Mus musculus: one gene and its partners. The main gene of each other region encodes a partner of the protein of the gene in region 4 in a complex. Links are inferred from orthologs where the notes say so. Each region holds a gene or a part of one and is shown on either strand. Other genes may lie near its edges. The genes, in order: Aim2, Ripk3, Zbp1, Ripk1 and Mefv.

What was found.
Region 1: Ripk1 (region 4) and Aim2 share a complex: the UniProt entries of both Homo sapiens proteins name them as parts of the AIM2 PANoptosome complex. The link is inferred for Mus musculus from reciprocal best matches to the Homo sapiens genes RIPK1 and AIM2.
Region 2: Ripk1 (region 4) and Ripk3 share a complex: the UniProt entries of both Homo sapiens proteins name them as parts of the AIM2 PANoptosome complex. The link is inferred for Mus musculus from reciprocal best matches to the Homo sapiens genes RIPK1 and RIPK3.
Region 3: Ripk1 (region 4) and Zbp1 share a complex: the UniProt entries of both Homo sapiens proteins name them as parts of the AIM2 PANoptosome complex. The link is inferred for Mus musculus from reciprocal best matches to the Homo sapiens genes RIPK1 and ZBP1.
Region 5: Ripk1 (region 4) and Mefv share a complex: the UniProt entries of both Homo sapiens proteins name them as parts of the AIM2 PANoptosome complex. The link is inferred for Mus musculus from reciprocal best matches to the Homo sapiens genes RIPK1 and MEFV.

The regions. Positions count from the first base shown.
Region 1 is NC_000067.6:173,419,139-173,423,404, reverse strand, and holds the start of Aim2 (interferon-inducible protein AIM2), read right to left. Parts: upstream 2,802-4,266; 5' UTR 2,719-2,801; intron 1-2,718. UniProt on the Homo sapiens protein: Sensor component of the AIM2 inflammasome, which mediates inflammasome activation in response to the presence of double-stranded DNA (dsDNA) in the cytosol, leading to subsequent pyroptosis.
Region 2 is NC_000080.6:55,786,058-55,790,337, forward strand, and holds the start of Ripk3 (receptor-interacting serine/threonine-protein kinase 3), read right to left. Parts: upstream 2,801-4,280; 5' UTR 2,580-2,800; coding exon 2,560-2,579; intron 2,406-2,559; exon of another isoform or gene 2,325-2,405; coding exon 2,181-2,324; intron 2,077-2,180; coding exon 1,767-2,076; intron 1,383-1,766; coding exon 1,225-1,382; intron 1,104-1,224; coding exon 1,057-1,103; intron 960-1,056; exon of another isoform or gene 868-959; coding exon 700-867; exon of another isoform or gene 594-699; coding exon 526-593; intron 302-525; coding exon 1-301. UniProt on the Homo sapiens protein: Serine/threonine-protein kinase that activates necroptosis and apoptosis, two parallel forms of cell death. Necroptosis, a programmed cell death process in response to death-inducing TNF-alpha family members, is triggered by RIPK3 following activation by ZBP1.
Region 3 is NC_000068.7:173,206,110-173,208,934, forward strand, and holds the end of Zbp1 (Z-DNA-binding protein 1), read right to left. Parts: intron 1,811-2,825; coding exon 1,633-1,810; intron 1,118-1,632; coding exon 1,108-1,117; 3' UTR 503-1,107; downstream 1-502.
Region 4 is NC_000079.6:34,001,101-34,005,176, reverse strand, and holds the start of Ripk1 (receptor-interacting serine/threonine-protein kinase 1), read right to left. Parts: upstream 2,815-4,076; 5' UTR 2,471-2,814; exon of another isoform or gene 2,383-2,470; intron 2,304-2,382; exon of another isoform or gene 2,224-2,303; intron 2,214-2,223; exon of another isoform or gene 2,019-2,213; intron 1-2,018. UniProt on the Homo sapiens protein: Serine-threonine kinase which is a key regulator of TNF-mediated apoptosis, necroptosis and inflammatory pathways.
Region 5 is NC_000082.6:3,708,111-3,711,624, forward strand, and holds part of Mefv (pyrin), read right to left. Parts: intron 2,903-3,514; coding exon 2,684-2,902; intron 2,277-2,683; coding exon 2,254-2,276; intron 1,019-2,253; coding exon 903-1,018; intron 728-902; coding exon 435-727; intron 118-434; coding exon of another isoform or gene 86-117; intron 1-85. UniProt on the Homo sapiens protein: Involved in the regulation of innate immunity and the inflammatory response in response to IFNG/IFN-gamma.

The DNA of each region.
Region 1 (4,266 bases), on a different chromosome or scaffold from region 4:
GTACCAACATGCCTTCTCCTGAGAATGATTGCCACAGGATGGGCTGCCCCCACCACAGATTATGCAGTTGCTTCATGGGAGTATCCCAAAAATCCTGTGCTTTGCTCTACACTCCCTATACACTTGTCTGTGACTAAACAGCTATCCCTATGGTGTAAAAACTTCCAAAACTCCTTTTGAAAATAAAAATGGAAAAGATATGCACTTGAGGGATAAACTAGTAAATCAACTGCTGTTGTTCACCAATCAGTTCGTTTTGTCCAGTAAGGCATCTTGTAAGTCTTAGAGGAAATGAGTCATGAATCAGGCAAGATTTCTTCACTATCCCCACAACAAATACAAGTATGTATAGCTGTGTAGTGTACAGGCTGGGGCTGTGTAGTGTAACTCAAGTTGGTCGTCAGACTATGTCTATTTGAGGAGGTAACATTTAAACAATTACAGAGATAAATAGAAAGAGTAATTCTTATATCTTGGAGCTAGATCTAAGGGAAGGTATACAGCCTTATCTATGTACTAAATCACAATGGATTATTCACTTTGCAGTGACTGGCTGTATGCTAGTTTACCTTATTGAAGCAGTAAATGTGATGTTATTCAGTTTCACCAAAAAGTACATCAGAAAGCATTATTCTGGGATAATGATAAATGGCGTTTCCCCACAAGATGTATAAATGGGACTTTTAAAAACATGACTAACATAATATGCATCATTCTGTGTAAAGAATAATCTTAAGTGTATTTTTAAAAAGAAGAAAACAAACATGGAAATATCATATGAAGCGATATAAGATGGTTACACAAGATTCAAACATTTCAACTGACAGAACGCACATGAATTAGACTCATGGGTTTAAAAAGAATGCTAAACTGGAATAAAACCCACTGTGGTGCCTGTGGTGTTTAAAAAAGACACAGTGGGGGAAATTGAAGTGCTGAGTAGCTGCAAAGCAAAAAATACGTGAACATATGTATCAGGCACTAAGCACAAAAACTCTAGTTAGAGCAGCTCTATCAATATTAGTCAGAGAAGACTATAAGACAAATAGTGCCATTAAGGACAGAGTTGCTATACAACAATTAAATGTTAAAGTCATCAAGGTAATATAACCAACAATTCTAAACAGTAAGCACCTCATTGAATAAAGTCAACAGTTGTAAACAAAATTTGACAGTTCTCCACTAACAAATGGCAAATGTACCATGATGGTCAGAAATTACAAAACATTTCCTTCAGTAACTAACGCTTTAAATAGCCAAGAATAAAATAAAACAAAAAGCAAAAAAGTAGAAAAGTTGAACAACATAATTAACAACTATGTTCTGATACTTAGAAATACTTACCACACTTTCGGTAAGGGCACAAAGGTTATCACTGAGTTCCAAAGAGTAGTTACTGTATTAGTTTCTTTTTTTTCTTCAATTTTTAATATTTAAATGTATTTTATACATCAAACATATTAATAATATTGAGCATTTTGAGAATCAAATAGTCTGTAAAAATGTGTTCAACTTTTATATTGATATCCTTTCATACCCTAAAAATATCATTAATGAATATTTAATACAGGAGAACACAGTAAACAGCTATAAGCACTTAAAGAGGCAACACAAAAATCTCTTAAAGAATTACAGGAAAAAACAATCAAACAGGTAAAGGAAATGAACAAAATCATCCAAGATCTAAAAATGGAAATAGAGACAATAAAGAAATCACAAAGGGAGACAACCCTGGAGTTAGAAAACCTACAAAAGAGATCAAGAGTCATAGATGCAAGCATCACCAACAGAATACAAGAGATAGAAGACAGAATCTCAGATGCAGAAGATACCATAGAAAATATTGACAAAACAGTCAAAGAAAATGCAAAAAGCTCTTAACCCAAAACATCCAGAAAATCCAGGACACAATGAGAAGATCAAACCTAAGGATAATAGGTATAGAAGAGAGCGAAGATTCCCAACTTAAAGGGCCAGTAAAGATTTTCAACAAAAATATAGAAGAAAACTCCCCTAACCTAAACAAAAAGATGCTCATGAACATACAAGAAGTCTACAGAACTCCAAACTGGACCGGAAAAGAAATTCCTCCTGTCATAATAATCAAAACACCAAATGCACCAAACAAAAAAAGAATATTAAAAGTGGTAAGGGAAAAAGGTCAAGTAACATAAAGTCAGACCTATCAGAATTACACCAGACTTCTCCACAGAGACTATGAAAGCCAGAAGATCCTGGGTAGATTTCATATAGACCCTAAGAGAATACACATGGCAGCCCAGGCTACTATACCCAGCAAAAATCTCAATTACCATAGATGAAGAAACCAAAATATTCCATGACATAACCAAATTTACACAATATTTTCTCATAAATCCGGCCCTACAAAGTATAATAGATGGAAAACACCAACACAAGAGGGAAACTACACCCTAGAAAAAAGCAAGAAAGTAATCTTTCAAAAAAACTAAAAGAATATAGCCACACAGATATAATTCCACCTCTAACAACAAAAATAACAGGAAGTAGCAATCACTTTTCCTTAAATATCTCTTAGCAATCACTTTTCCTTAATATCTCTTTTCAGTTCCCCGCAAAAGACAGAATTGGATATGTAAACAGGACCCAGCATTTTGCTGTATTAGTTTCTTTTCTGTTTTGATAAAATGTCATGAACATTAGCAACATAGGGGAGAAGTAGGTTTTAATTTTACTTACAGGTCCATGAGGGTGGATTTCATCACGACAAGGAAAAAACCTAGCAGCTAGTTAAGGAAGCATGGCGGCAGACAGGACAGGAAGCAGGCAGGACAGGAAGCAGGCAGGTTGTGATTCTTGCTCAGACAAAGAAACAGAGTTACAAGTGAGACCGCCTATCACCTCTCACAGGCCGCCCTCAGTGACCCACTTCCTCCAATAAGGTTTCTCCAGTAAGTTCCTCCTTGTGAAAGTCCCAAGACCTTCCGGAGCCACCAGCCGGCATATATTCAAACCTCAACAGATACCATAGGAATGATCCTTCCCCCAAATTCCAGGGATTTAACTATGGAAATGGGAAAGCAGGATCCAATTGGAACTAGACTGAAATAAACTTGCTATTACCTAATAAAGTAAAGGAAATAGAGATTAAAAGCACATATAATTTTTAAAAGATGCCATGTCACTTGAACATTTGGGATTATGGAGTAACATTATCTGCTTGGCATTTCTTTCTTTTTTTTTTTTTTTTTTTTCTATTTGATTCCGTGTCTGATTTTTTTTTAATTGTTCTTTTGTGTTACTACCATGCTGGGTTTTTTTTTCCCCACATTTTTTTTATTAGATATTTTCTTCTTAGATTAAGGTTACTTAGAATTTTGAGCTCTGATGCTTTCAAGCTAACGTTACATCACAGGCTTTCTGTCATGCCATTATTCTCACCTTTTATCGAGAAATAGCTCCCTGGCCCCTATGTTTCTTCCCCCTTCAGCTAGAAATCAAAAGCCCTCTTCTAAATATAAATTCATGTCAATAAAACACCTACAGACCAACACACCCAGAAAATCAGAGTTCCTTTTAGGCTCAGTCTGGGTCAACCCTCTGAACAATATATTCTAATTCCTGCCACGGCCAAATGCACTTTCTTTTGTAAAGGTCTCAGTTGTGGTGCAATAAAAGATAACTTCTGTTCCTCAGTCAACTGAAGGTTTAGAACCAGGCTTCCTGCAGCCTTATTCTTTTCTAGAATACAGTCAATACTAATCCCTCTTTCTAACCTCAGAAACCCAGGACTCTCTTTCCTCTTAATTTACTGATTAGCAAAATGGTCCTAAAGCTTTCTCTAGAAAACTTCTGACATATCTTACTTACCTCAGGGGATTTTCTTCTCTCCAAAGCAGCCTTAGTTCTCAACTCAGGGACTGGTGTATGTCCTGAGAGTTCAAACCATCCGCCTCACAAAGATTTTCACTATGAGTAGTAGGACATGAAAATCATGAAAATCAGGTCTTGGGAGACAGAAAGCAGAAAGTACTCTCAACTATCTTCTTTCACTTTGAAGCTTGGCTAGTCCTGGCCCTATAGCTGAGTCCTAAACCCTGATGCTGGGGCAAAATAATTATATATTAAGGCTCTGCCCAAGCAAATGCTAGTTTTCAGTTTCCTTTTTACAAGCCTCAGCAGAGTTTCTCCTCCAGCTGTGAGGTCTCAACCAGAGGTATTTTAGATATAGGGAACTCCACAAAAGTTATTTCCTGCTTTACCAGGGAGTTCATAGCCTAAGGGACA
Region 2 (4,280 bases), on a different chromosome or scaffold from region 4:
CAGTAAAGACTGGCCCAGGTGTTGTGCCTCTGAAGGGTAAAGTATGTGGAATCTGAGGAGTGCCAGCCACGGGGTCAGAAGATGTCCTTGCTGGTGTGGCAGGCCCAACTGATGTGTCCTGTGCTTGCCTCTCAGGACATTTTCCAGGAACTGGTCCGGAGGGTTCCTCCAAATGCAGGCGGTCCAGCATTTTAGAAACCATGGTTTCCCTCGGGCAATCCATTTCTGTGCCTCTTTGGCTTGGCTCTCTGGCAGACAAGTTTCTGCCGCTGCTTCTGTGCTGAGACAGATAATGCTTTACCTGTGCAGACAGGGGGACCTTGTTGTCAGGAGCTGGGGCAGCCAAAGTAAACCCCAGTGAAAATTTTCTTGGTCTCTGGAGACTAAGGAGTAGGTTCTGGTGAATGGGAATGACAACCAAGGATTAAATAATGGTGGCCAGTGAAGATAAACTGAATGGTTAAGGGAGCCACTTGTGCCATCTCCCAACAGTTCCTGGATGGGAAGGCAGTGCTAGAAACTCACCTCGGAGACAGCAGCATCTACCTTGTCCTTTACCAGATTGTAAACTTCATTGGTTTTTGGTTCGCAGTCTGAAAGACAACAGCGAGTTGTATATGAGTCGGATTTCTTTCCTTGGAGGAGCTCCCTGCTGAAGACCCAAGCCTACCCTAGTTGCCAGAGATACGGCCAACTCACCCTGGAAGGATGGCCTGTTTTCGGACTGGGAACCCCAGCAATGAATCATTAACTCCTTCAGTTTTTCCAAGCCGGGAGTCTCAGGGCTACCTGGAGGCAGCTCTGTCAGTGGAGGACGACTCTGCCTGTCACACACTGTTTCCCGGATTAGTGAAGTCTTGTCTACCACTGGAGTTGGGGGATAACATAAGGAATTCATGAAATGAGGGGACAGCCCATTCTATCGCGGACAGGAGCAGGGAGAGTCATCCAAGTGAGAGGTGAGGTGGGAAGAGGGCAGTGTGTTAGTGGGTCAGGGTAAAAGGGAGGGCTCCAGGGGGGTTTAGGTGCTTTCGGGTACTCCATTTGGAGTCTTACACTCAGCTTCTCTGCCAGCCAGCACTGCCCACACGAGGATCCCAAAGCTGTACAGACACAAATGGAGGCTTAGATGGCCTCTGGCGAGACTTCTTTCCTGTATCATTCCCTTTAGAAGGGCCCAAATTGGTATAGAGATTTGGAGTGTGTTTGGGGTGGATGGTTTACCTGTAGACATCACTCGCTTTAGAAGCCTTCAGGTTGACATCAAATAACAGCTCTGGGTCCAAGTACGCTAGGGTGCCCCCAGAGTCCCTGGATCCTGATCCTGATCCTGACCCTGACTGGGACCCTCCCTGAAACGTGGACAGGCCAAAATCTGCTAGCTGTAAAGGAAAGGAAAGGGAAGGTATTAGATGAAGGGGGGGGTCAGAGATTTTTCCCTCTCTTGCTCCCCAGAAGATGCAGCAGCCTCAGCTTTTTGGAAGGTGTTATGGAGGACCAGAGGGAAGGTAAAGTCATTGAGAACTTAGCAGGAGATCTGAGTTGCTGATGGGCAGGCCTGAGATAAGTCAGCCTGGGTCCGTGAGGGTGCATTAGGCCTGTGGAACTGAGCCAGGGGGTTAAGAAGGGCGTCTGGTAAGGAGGGTCACCTGGTATGACTAGAAATAAAACTCCTAGTTGGGTCTTGTCATGTGTGTAGTCTTGTATTCAGAGGGACAGGTACTCAACATGGTCCCAAGTCTACACTAGGTTGTAGATGGACTAACCTTGGCGTGGAGCTCTGGATCCAGCAGAATGTTAGAGGGCTTGAGGTCCCGGTGCAGGAGCGGAGGGTTCAAGCTGTGTAGGTAGCACATCCCCAGCACCACTTCCTGCAGCAGGCGACAGAGGAGTGGCCAGGGCCGAGGGCACTCGGGTTGCAGCAGCCCTGCGAGGGAGCCATTCTCCATGAATCTTGTCACCAGAGCCTGCCCGGACACGAAGTCCCACTGGAGGTCCTCAGTGACCCCCAGCAGGAGCAGAACGTTCTCATTACGAAGATTAACCATAGCCTTCACCTCCCAGGATATCTTCTTCCTACACGCCGAAAGGGGGCCAAAATTGGATTGCGCTCTGGAAGACCCCACCCTTGCCCCACTCAGGCTCGTGACCACACTCTGACTACAGCTGGGGTCACTCACGAGTTCACGATCTTGACTGCTACATCATGGTTCCATGTTCTGTGGTGTGCCCGGAACACGACTCCGAACCCTCCTTTACCCACAAACTCCAGCTTCTTCAGTTCTTCACGGCTCACCAGAGGAACCGCTGACGCACCAGTAGGCCTGAGAAAGGTTCTTGTCCGGTAGGGGGCCCATCCCCCAGCCTAGCGCATCCTCTGTCTCCCAAGCTCCGGGATTCCGTGACTGCGCGTGGGCAGCGTAGGCAGCGAGTCTAGCCTCCCCACTGCTGCCCGCCTCACCCCCAGCTTTGTCCCCTGCCTCAGAAAAGGCGTCCTTTGAGTGTGTCCCCGGGCCACCTGTGTGGGTGTGCCGGAGACACAGCTCACTCCCCACTCACCATAACTTGACAGAAGACATCGTCGGGAGCTAGCGGCTTCCTGGAGTTATGTGTGCACAGACGGAGCTGGAAACCCGACGTCTACGGCTCGGAGTGTGGACTGAGAGGAAGGCAGGGTCTGCAAAGGGAACAATCAGTAGGTCAAGGCACGGAGGTTCAGGCCCCGAATTCCGCTTCCCAGGTCGCTCCCCCGGACTTTGAATGAGCGACTTCACAACTTCCCTTTCAAATAAGAGGCTCCTTCTATCTCCGCCCCCTGGGGTGGAGCATTGAAAACTTTGGGGCTATTTCCTGTGCACGTGCCTTGAAACTGCTTCCACCCGAGAAGCGCCCAGGCACTGGGCGTGCCACAAAAGGTGTCCTCACCATCCAGGAACGATTGACTCCCCACGATAGCCAGTCTCTCTTGGACCCCTTAGCTCCACCGCTTGCCAACCACATTTTGATGAAGGGAGGATGGAGATCAGGAGGATTTTATGGTCCTAAGATCACGGAGTAACGCTTCTAGTAAGGGTTGTCTTGGGCCAGGTACACATACTGGCTTCTTAGATCAACCGTGTTTTCTTTTCTATAGAGGAGGAAACCCAAGTACTTAAAGTTTAAATCGCTTGGCCAAGTAAGTATGGGACTAGTTTAGAACCGAGTTCTGCTCCACCAAGGTAGCCCTTATTTTATTTATTTATTTATTTATTTATTTACTTACTTACTTACTTACTTACTTACTTACTTACTTTTGAGACAGGGTCTCTTTTTGGAGCCCTGGTTGATCTGGGACTCGAGTATACAGACCAGGTTGACTCAAACTCACAGAGAGCCATCTGCATCTGCCTCCTGACTAAATGCTGGGATTAAAGGTGTACGCCACCATGCTTGGCTTTCTTATTTATCTTAAAATTTATTTATGTGTGTGCATGACCATGCATGTGGTGAAGGGGTGCATGTCATGGTGTGTGTGTGTGTGTGTGTGTGTGTGTGTGTGTGTAGGTGTTCGACCTTGTTTGAGATAGGGTCAGTTTGTTCTCTGCTGTGTGCATAATGCTATGTGTTAGCCTGTTAATGTCCCAGTATTCTCCTGTCTCTCATCTTGCTGTAGGAACACTGGCATGGTATACATGGGCTACTGTCCCCAATGTCACTTTAGTTGTGGGAATATGAGTTCAGGTCCTCATGCTTGCATGACAAGAATTTTGCCTACTAAGCGGCACACACACACACACACACACACACACACACACACTCCAGCTCAAGTTAGCTTATTCTTCTTGACAATGCCTCTGGGCTATATAAATCTACCTGTGGTGCAGGTAAGGTATGAGGCACGCAGTATGCACTAAAGGACCTCTTGGAATCCCTGCTCAGCAAGAGCAGCTACTAAGTAGGGGTTGTGGAGCTGGAAGGCCCAGGGTCTATGCCAGGGTGTTGTAATGAGGATAGGTGTGCTGGCCCTGCAATCGAGCCACTGCTGCTGTGATGGCCTCTGTAGCAGCTCTAAGGGCTTCCCACCCTTCCCCTTGTGTGATACCTTTGGCAAGTAAATACTCTGATTCATGCTTCAGGCAAGCATGGCATATATTCTCCATGAAAGCTTTTCAAGATCCTAGAGTGTCAGACTGTTGGGTAACAGGACTGGTGGTGCACACCTTTAATCCCAGCCCTCAGGAAGCAGAGGCAGGCAGACCTCTAGGACCAGCCTGGTCTACATAAGGAGTTTGAGGCCAGGT
Region 3 (2,825 bases), on a different chromosome or scaffold from region 4:
AGACTAACGGGCCCCTCAGCTTTGTGTAGGGCATCAACTGTGAACAATAGCCTACCCTTGTCATGGGACTTGGGAGTATCTTAGTTAGGGTTTTATGGCTGTGAACAGATACCATGACCAAGGCAAGTCTTATAAAAGACAACATTTAACTGGGGCTGGTTTACAGGTTCAGAGGTTCAGTTCATTATCATCAAGGGGGGAGTGTGGCAGCATCCAGGCAGGCAGAGCTGAGAGTTCTACATCTTCATCTGAAGGCTGCTAATGGAAGACTGACTTCCAGGCAGTTGGAGTGAGGGCCTTAAGCCCACACCCACAGTGACACACCTACTCTAACAGGGCCACACCTCCTAACAGTGCCACTTCCTAGGCCAAGCATATTCAAACCATGACAGGGGGCAAGCACCTTTACTGCAGGGCCATCTCGCCCGCCTCTGGTTTAATGCTTTAAATCCGTTTTCTCAGTGGCTTGATGCTCTTTAGTTGAAAGAAACACTAGCCTGGGTTTCAGAGGTACACCTTTTTATAAAAGTACAGTGCATTCAGCAGTGTCCCCCCTCCCGGCCCTGATCCCCCCAGCTGTGATCTCTTTAGGTGGTGACACCCTCCCAGACCGTGACCCCCCCCCAGGCTGTGACCCCCGCCTCTCCTCCCCATGCACCATCCTCATCCCCTGGTTGGTGTTACATGTACTTTCATGTCACATCTGTGTATATGATTTTATAAATCTATCTAAAGTCTAGGAGCCACAACAGAGAAAATGTGGCCCTTGTCTTTCTAAGATGGCTTTCATTCATTCAACATGGTGGCCTCTGGTCACATCCTCTTCTGGCCAATGACAGCCTCAGTATTTCCCATGGCTGTGTGCATACTCCAATTCACCCATCTTTTACTGCTGGGTAGCAAGGTCGGTTCCACTTCTTAGCTGCTGTGAACAGTGTCCCAATCTACATGGATATGCGGAGATCTCTCTGTGTTGACTTTTGCCTTTGGGTGAGCATCCAGGAGTGGTAGAACTGGCTCCTGCGGTTGATCGATTGATTGATCTTGAGGCAGGAAAGGTTGATTTGACTTATAGTGGCAGAGGGGTCAGCCTATGGTCCCACAGCTTCATTGCTTGCTGGGAAGGCAGAAAGAAGAGATGACTAGAGAGACTGGAAGGGGCATGGCCCAAGCTGGGACTGAGGCTGCATTGGTAGCCCTTGTGAGGCATGCATGAAGTTTCCCCCTTAGCATCTCATAAACTGGACTTGGTGGTACATGCCTAGGATTCCAGCACTCAGGAATTGGAGGCCAGGAGATCAGGAATTCAAGGTCACCCTTGGTGACAGAGTGAATCAAAGCCAGTTTGGACCACATGAGACCCTGATGTCTTTAGTGACTCATTTTCTTTGGCTTCCCAAAGTCTCTACCCTGACCGGATGGATATCCTTGTCAGACAGTGAATCCATCGAGAGACTGGTGTGTGGATGATCTTGGAGTCATACAGGACCAAGTTGCTGATCCTTGGCCTTTCCAGGGACAATACCACACTTGAATCACAACAGAAATCTAGTACAGGCCCTGTGTACAGCCACAAAAAAGTCCCAAAGGCCTCTCCACCTCTGCCTGTGCTCTTGCCACCTCTTTCCTCACCTCAGTCCTGTGTCTTGAGAGCTTTCTATGTCCTGGACTTCATGCTCTCTAAGCACAGGTTCTGTGGTCTGGGGGCTACTGTCTCCCAGAGCCATAGCTCTCAGCTCAGAGGTGGGCAGCATGGAGTCACTGGGCGTGTGCTGGCAGCTTCTGGGTGGAGTGGCTTCAGAGCTTGTACCTGGGGGCAGGGAGAAAAGGAAGGTACCCTGCAGACTCCTCAGAAGTGTTTGCTCCGAAAGCACAGTGGTGGGGTTTCTGCTTGAATGCACTCCAGGGCTTTGTTCCCAAACTGTCCTATGGGAGACATAACACTCCCCAACACATGGATTGATTGATTGATTGACTGATGTGTCTCTGTGTCTGTGTCTCTGTGTCTGTGTGTCTGTGTATAGAAGTCAGAGGACAACAGGTGGGAGTTGGCTCTCTCCTTCTACCATGTGGGTCCTGGGCCATCAGACTTGGCAGCAAATGTGTGCACTCACTGAGCCATCTCGATGGCCCAGTAAGACTTAAATACTATACCACACACCTCTGTTCACACCTTGCATGTCTCCCAGTTCATTTCAAATAAGATGGAGACATTTTGCACATGCCTTCAGGCTCTGAAAGGGCCTGGTGGGTACCCACCAAGGCTTTAGGCTCCTGGGTCCCTCTTGTTTCCCAGACTCCTGCTCTGTGCTTCTCCCCTCGGGTTTTGGCACCTGCCATTTTTACACTTGCAACCCTTCCCCCGGATTTGTTGGCAGGTCCCTGTTGGCTCCTTATTTTAGTTCTCTTACAGAGCTTCCTTGATGGCAGGGCTCATAATTTTCTCTCTAGGAGCAGCCATGATGGCTCCCCAAAGGGTTCCTTGCCTGGGCCTGGTGACTGTGACCCATGACACCCACGATGGCCTGGCGACTGTGACCCATGACACCTGTGGCCCATTCTCACTATGTAAACCATGCAGCACTTCACCATCAGGAGACCGTATCTACCTTACATCCAGATATCCTGGTCTCTCCATGCTAATCCTAACTACCCATATGTAGGACTATGCGATCTTACTCCAAGTCCAAAAGGTCTCTGCTTCCTTCAAAGTCCTGAGCAAAGCCCCTCTGTGGCTCTTCATTACCTTGGTGTCTATACCTGCATCCTCCCTGCAGCCTGGATCTATATGCTGGCTTTTGGTCAACTCACTGAGTTCCAGACCC
Region 4 (4,076 bases):
GTCATGTACTCTACTGGTAATGCCCATTCAGTCTATTAGCAGTGTATTTTGAGAGAGCCATGTGGGCAGTTTATTGAGGTAGACCCAAGGATTGCAAAACCACTGAATGTAAGGTAGGAAGCCAGATAATCAAACACCATTTTAAAGACTTAACTAAGTCATATTTACCTGTTATAGTAAGTGATAACTAACTTTAACTAATGTCATGTCTCAATGGAATTTGCTAATGTTTTGAGATAAATGATTATTAAGTCAGAACCACAGGAAAGTTAATTTTTTTCCACTGAAATGAATCAGAAATTTCAAAATGAACACTGGCAAAATAAGTCTACATTATATTTACATATAATACTGTTTAAGTTCACGCTTACTTAGTGAGTTCCAGACCAGTCAGGGCTATATAGCGAGACCTTGTTTTAGAAAAAAAAGTTGTATATTCGTGTGTACATATCCCTTTTAATGGCTGCACTCCTTTTAAAACCCAACTAATTTTCACTTAAATTTTCAGTGACTATCTTGTATAATAAGAGCAGGAGGACAAAGAATGTCAACTGCTAGCTGTGCCCTACTTCCTTCTTAGAAGAATTCTGATTTTACTCAGGTAAGTGACATATCAGTGGCTCGCTGCATCCAAGGTTCTTTAATTAAAACAGCCTGTGCTTGTTTCACAAAAGGGCATTGAACAAGGAATCAAACCACCAACAAAAGACAAGGTGGAATAAAATTTAACAAAGTATGATCAAACACATCAGCACATTGTGGTCTGTGAATTAATTTATCAAGACTATTTTCAATTTACAAATAAAGAAATTACAAGTTGAGGTTAAATGATTCACCCGAATTGAATTCACCTTACCCCTTCTCTCAGGCTTTCACTCTCAGTTCTTTAATATTTTTTTCTAGAAAGGCAACTAATAATTTTCTTTTGAAAACCCCCAATGCAAAGACGAAATTGTTGCCAGGCATAGTGTGCCATGGTATTCCAGGCATAGTGACACATGCCTTCCATCCGGACACCAGGAAGACAGAGGCAGGTAGATCTCTGGGAATTCAAGGCCAGCCTGGCCTTCTACATAGCTAGCTTCAGGATAGCAAAGGCTACACAAAGAGACCCAGTCTCAAAAACAATAAACAAACAAACAAACAAACATATAAAATCATATGGACTTACCCAGATTAATTGAATATTCTACATTTTAAAAACATGGGGATGTACAGATTAAATTTAAAAAAAACTTAGTATTATATCCATGTTTTTATAGTAAGACACATCTGCCAGAATGATATCCTACCGATGTGTGGGAAACTATATATTTGCTTCAAATTCCAGATCCTACTGGAGATATTAAGGAGACATTAACTAAGGTGTAATAGTACTGTGCCCAGTTTGTAAGTTGTTACCTTGGGCACATATCTTATTACAATCTTGAAAGCTTAACATTATGTGTAAGGCTCAAAGTAGCAAAGAATGAGAAAAATGGAAATTAAAGTTAAGAATTGTTACTACTGTTTTTGTCAGTCATACAAACAAAACATCCCAAATTTCATTTTCAATAAGACTAGTATATTTCTACATACAATACAGCTGTGATAGTTCACCTTTCTCACAAGCCTTAGTAGTATCTTTCCAGGGGCTACAGAATTACACAATTAAGTCATTGCATCCCAAAGTTCACTCTACCATCGAGTCTTCATGTGTTAAGAAAGAATACTTTCCTAAAGGTCTTTTGTGGAATTTCTTGATTAAAACAGCTTCAACTCTTTGCACAAAGTAAAAGAGCAAGAAAATCAAATGATCTGCAAGACACAAAGAATGAGTCACCCTGGGCTGCACCATCCATCCTCAGTGGGCTCTGTCCAACGCTTAGGTGAGGAGGATGTGGCTTATCTTTTTCACAACTCAGAAAAGGTCTGCAGCAACCCATAAATGCAAATGCTACTGAGGACCAGAGAAGCCTTGGATGTTTGACACTGGTCTCTCGTTGAGGTCGTAGATCACTCCTGATTTGCCAGCTCACCTCAAAAATAACGATGAAAGCTACCGACTGCTCTGCCACCTGCTGCCCCAAGACAACAGGAATAGACCCTTTTAAAGAGCTGGTAGGTCCAGGGTTGATAGGTTACATTTAGGTAGTCTTGTTGGGGTCCTAAAGCTTCAAGAAGCTGTCATTCCTACCAAAATAATCGTTCCATAGTCACTCTGTAACCATGGCTACGGCGCACCTTCAGTCTCGACTTGAGCTAAAACGACCTCAAGAAGAGTCCAACCTCCCGCTAGATGACAGCAAGTTCCGCGCTTTTCGATTTCCGGGAACGTTTGAAGTCCCGCCCGCCACCCGGCTTCCGGAAACAACGAGCCCCGCCCTCCGGTCCACGCGCAGAAATCGCGCGGCCTCCGCCCCTTCCGGGAAACCAGCTTCTGAGGAAACTAGCGGCGGCGCCCCTGGCCTCGACCCCCGCGCTGACTTACCTCAGAGGCCTTCCCGCGGCCAAGTACCCCGGCCTAGGTGAGGAAGGACGGGCGGTGGACGTCAGGAGCGGCGCCTCGCCGTGGCTGCCCGGCCGGGACGGCCCTGGGCCCTGACGAGGACCGGTCGGAGTTCGGTGCTGAAGTGGCGCCCAGCCACTCGCAGGTCCCCCACAGCCTGCCGCCTCCCGCCGCGTCCAGCTCGCACCTCCGCGGGTCCGCACCGCCGCTGGACTCCCGGGAGGTGAGCGGCACCGACACCCGCGCTCCCGAGGCCGTTCCGGGGGCCGCTGGTCCTCCTCTAAGGACTACTGGGGTGGTGCTAGGCTGCGGCCGCCCCTGTCTCCGCCTCTGCTCACGCCCCGGGGCTGTGTGCACGGGCGAGCGCCAGCCTCCCAGCTGGGCATTGAGCTCTACTGAGCATGCCAGGTTCGCAGCACGACCATCCCGGAGGCCCGCGGGCGGAAGGAATGGCACTTTTGCCTTGCTTTCTGAGCGAGTTCTGAGAGAGCCCTTAAAAAAAATAATACGGCGGTCATAGCTGCTATATGTCAGGGCGGAGACCGCTTGGCCCGCTAGATAGCGCTGTGTGCGACAGTGGCCTTTGCAAGCTTTGTGGGTTCAGAGGTGACACGGTGACAGAACCACTGGTAAATTATCGTTCGTCCACCACAGCAGCCTGTCGAGGAAGAAACGTGATTAATTTGTAGCCCTCGAAAATAGTAGTTGAAACCCCAAGCAGAAACTGTGTTGCTGCAGGTGTCATTAAGAAGAAAGTTGCACGATAGTCCAGTGATCCCTTATTGTCAAAAGATAAATATGACAAGACAGAGAGAGGGCCACAAAAGACACGATAAAGGAGTCTTATTAAACCATACACACGACCACTTTAAGAAAATTCACAGCCATTTTACCAGATACCTCACCATACAAATAAGCATTAAAAAGATGCTCAATGTCAAAGGACATTAGGGGAACTCAACTTTGATGTAGAGTACACATAAAATGCCCCCAAATCCCAAACATTCACCGATGTTAACAAAAACGTACACTAACTGAAAATCACATACATTCCTGCAAAGAATGCAAAACCTTTATGGTTACTGTATGATTTATCAGTTTCACATACAGGTATGTACCCAAATGAACATACATCTAGTGTATAAACACATGTACTTAAGTTGGGTTTTTTGTTTGTTTGTTTGTTTGGAGTTCTTTCCGGGTGGGATTGGGTGTGTGTGTGTGTGTGTGTGTGTGTGTATAAAACTCCACATATGGGAGGCCAGGAGCCCACCTCCAGTTAGCTCCTTCTTACAATGCATCTTTTTCTTTTCCATACAAGGTATTACTTTTACCTTTTGCTTGTGGAATGGACTAAGCTGTCTGGCCAAGGCAAGAGGCACCAGGGGTGTCTCCATGGCCAGTTTTGTTTGTTTGTTTCTGTATGAGTGCTGGGGATTGAACTCAGATCCATATGTTGCCATGGAAAGCACTTTGCTGAAGGAACCATGAGCTATCTTCTTCAGGTTCCTGTACATTGTTTTTCCTTAAGTTTTTTGTTTGTTTTATTTACGAGTGTGTATATAATAGAGTGCAGATTCTCCTAGAG
Region 5 (3,514 bases), on a different chromosome or scaffold from region 4:
AATTTATTGAGATTGTGATAGGGGATAGGAACATACAGGGACCCAATATACCAAGGCCACTACTTGCCTTGATTTAGGCATTTACCAGCATGTTCTTAAGCGCCAGTCAGTTCTGGACTACAGAGGGGAGGAAAGAAAGATTGAATAAAGTTTGTAGTATACCAACTCAGGGGGTCTGAATTACACTCTCCCCACAAGGAAAGATCAGGATTCTCCTGCTTGGACTCTGCATCCTACGTCATTCAAGGCCCCCCAGGCATCCTAAACACTGAAGCTACTACTTCAATCAACAAGGCAGAACTCTGGGGCCTTTTATGACCTGTTTTGTGCTTCCATTCTAGGTGTATTCCTCCCTTTTCTGAATGGCTCCCCTAGAGCAAGAGATAAAGGATAATTACAAAAATCCTTGCTTAGATTGTTACCACCAAACTTACGAATGAAGGTTTCCATTTCAGGAAAGATTTAAATTTTCTTTTGTTGTTCCGAGAATGGATCTCATGTAGCTCAGGTGTGTCTTGAGCTGGCTGAGGATGAAGGTAATCTTTAGGTTCTGATCCTCCAGCTTCCCGTTCTGGGTAAAATACTACATCACAGTCCTGTGTGTGTGCACCATCACACTTTAGGTGAACGGTGGGAACCAAGCCCTGGACCTGTGTGGCGCTAGGCTGGCGCCCTTCCCATTTTGCTACATCTGAAGCGCTGAATGCCATTTCAGAGCTCAGCATTTCTAAAATTAAGAAAGAAAAACAGAAGAAACTGAGTTAGCTGAACGAGTTGGATCAGAAGAAAGCGGGGTCATAAAGGTTTTGCTGTGTAGGGAAGTGACCGAACAGGCTCTGAGCTGCCTGAAGCCCAGGGAGGAGATGAGCAAGGGCTTGCCATTTCCATCCAGGCTCACTGACCTGAGAAACACTGCATATTCTTCTCCACAGACTTTGACTTCTGGTAGAGCAGATGAAGCTTTTCTTTAACACCTGGAGGAGTGTCCAACAGCTCAGAGGCAGACATCATCTTAGCCCTAGAGACAAGAGATTGTCGGCCAGAGAAGATACGAGCAAGATGTTGTCTGAGGCCCTGTGAGGTGACAGACCGTCCCAGTATGGGTGATGCAAAGAAGTCTTTCCTAGACTCAAAGCTCTGGCACTGGTCCTCAACCTCAGCTGTACATCAGCATCACTGAACCACCGTTATAGAAATCACAATGAGTTTAAGTGGCAGCTTTAAAACCGAGTTTAGTCTTGCTATCAGAGTTCCCTATGTCAAATTATACTATTTCTATTGAAAGAAAAAGAACAACAAAATGCTACTTCACTCCTATTAGAATGGCCATTATAACAGCAAAAACAAATGAACAAATAATATGTGATACCTGCATACAAAGGGGTGTCACTTGGCAATTAAACAGAGTGGGATTCTGAAACAGCTACAATGTGAAGGAGCCGTGAAAATGTGCGGAGTGAAAGTAAGCCAAAGGCTAAAGGACAAACATTGAATGATTCTGATAATATGGGGTATTTAGAACAATCAAACTAATAAACAGGGAGAACAGACTAGTGGTTGCCAGGCAGCAGGGGAGGGAGGATGAGGAACTAGTACTTAATGGTACAGAGTTCCTATGTGGGAAGACAAAAAGGTTCTGGAGTTAGACGGTGCAAACAGGTGCACACCAATGTAGCCATATTAACATTAGTGAACTGTAGGCATAAAATAACTGATATTTTATGATATTCATATTTTTATGGAAAAATAACTTTTAAAACCCCACTAACCCCCAACTCTCAACCTCAACACTGAGACTCAGTTGGGGCAGCAGTGGCTTGGAAACCAGGACTTTGTAAAGTTCCTAAGTAACTCCTTTTCCAGTTCACCTCTCTTTCCCCTGCCTGCTGGGCTTAATCCACCTTCATATTGATCCCTAAGGACATCCCCACCCCCACCCCATCCCAAAGTGCTTGAGACCAGAGGCAGTTCTAAGAACTCTGTAGTAAAACAAATGGCATCCATTTGAGAGGTTTCTTGGGAAAGTACCGCTTGAATTCGGCAGGCCTGGGATAAATTCCTTCTCAGCAGTCCATTCCTGCCCTCCCCACTGCCCATACATTTTGTTCTTCCCACTCAAATCCAGGAATGACAGTCTCAGGAAGCTTTAGGAAACAGGAGTCCTGGGTTACAGATCCAGCTCCTTTGTAGGACTGTCTCATCCAAATGCTTTCTGCAAGACACCCAAGGGGACACCATGGGATCTCTCAGTACCTGTGCAAGGTGATTCCAATGTCCTAGGAGAGAAAAGAGGAAAGCTCTCTATTAACAGTCTCCAAGAGCTATGACTCCCCAGCAGCAAGCTGCTCTCTGACTCCCAGTCCTAGGGTGCCAGTAAACAGGATTGTTTCTCCTTCATGGTAATTCTAATCACAAAGATGGAAGGAAGCCTTGCCTGAGCCCACAGTGCAACCACCCTCTAGTTCTTCTCGTCTTTTCTTGGGTGATGCCAGGGGCATCCTACATGTTAAGACGTTCTGGGCTCCTGAGAGATCTCATCAAAAAGACACTGTGGGTCACTGAGACCAAGTCCCATTCCAGGCCTTAATGGCCATGCTTCCTGGCTTGGGGGTGGGATTTCAAGAGCCCAAGTCATGCCATTGCTCACAGAAGGCAGGCAAAGGCTAGGCACACTCACACTGACCTGCATGAGGTCCCACTCTGGCTGGTCTTGCTTGGCCTCTAGTTCTTCAATCATCTCATCCAGTAGGGAAACCCGGGTGTAGTATGTCTCTCTGACCTTGCTGATGGTCTGGCTTAGCTCCTGTAGCCAGGTCACAAAGAGTTGTTCTTGCTTCTCCAGGAGTTGGTATAGCTTCTCAAGTGGACATGAAATCTTCTGCTTCTGGATTTCTGTTTGTTTCTGGGGAACATAGGATTGGGAGATGTGTGGGTGTGTGCTGTGTGCTGGAAGTATGTATCTAGGAATGCCCTCCAAGATCATCTGATAGAGATGGATGAGAGGCAGGCTTTCTCAGTGTGACATTTGAACGAGAATGGCTCCTATAAGGCTCATATATTTGAATGTTTGATCCACAGTTGGTGGAACTGTTGGGGAAGGATTAGTAGGTATGGTCTTTGGAAGAGGTATGTCACTGAGGTTGAGCTTTGAGGTTTCAGAAACCCACACCCTTTCCAATTTTCTTTCTCTGTCTCTCCCCATCTCCATCTCCTCTGTCTCTCTGTCTCTTTCTGTCTCTGTCTCTGTCTCTCTCTTCTCTCTTTGACCCCCTCTTTCTTGGCCTAATGCATATAGATTAGATGTAAGCTCTCAGCTACTGCTTCAGCACCAAGCCTGCCTGCCTGGTGCCATGCTTCCAGCCATGATGCTCAAGGACTCTAACCTTCTAGAACCATGAGGCCCCAATTAAATGCTTTCTGTCATAAGTGTCTCTTCACAGCAATTTAAAGTTTAACTATCTTAAGATTTAACTATTTTTATGTGAACAATATTTTGCCTGAATGCATGCGTATA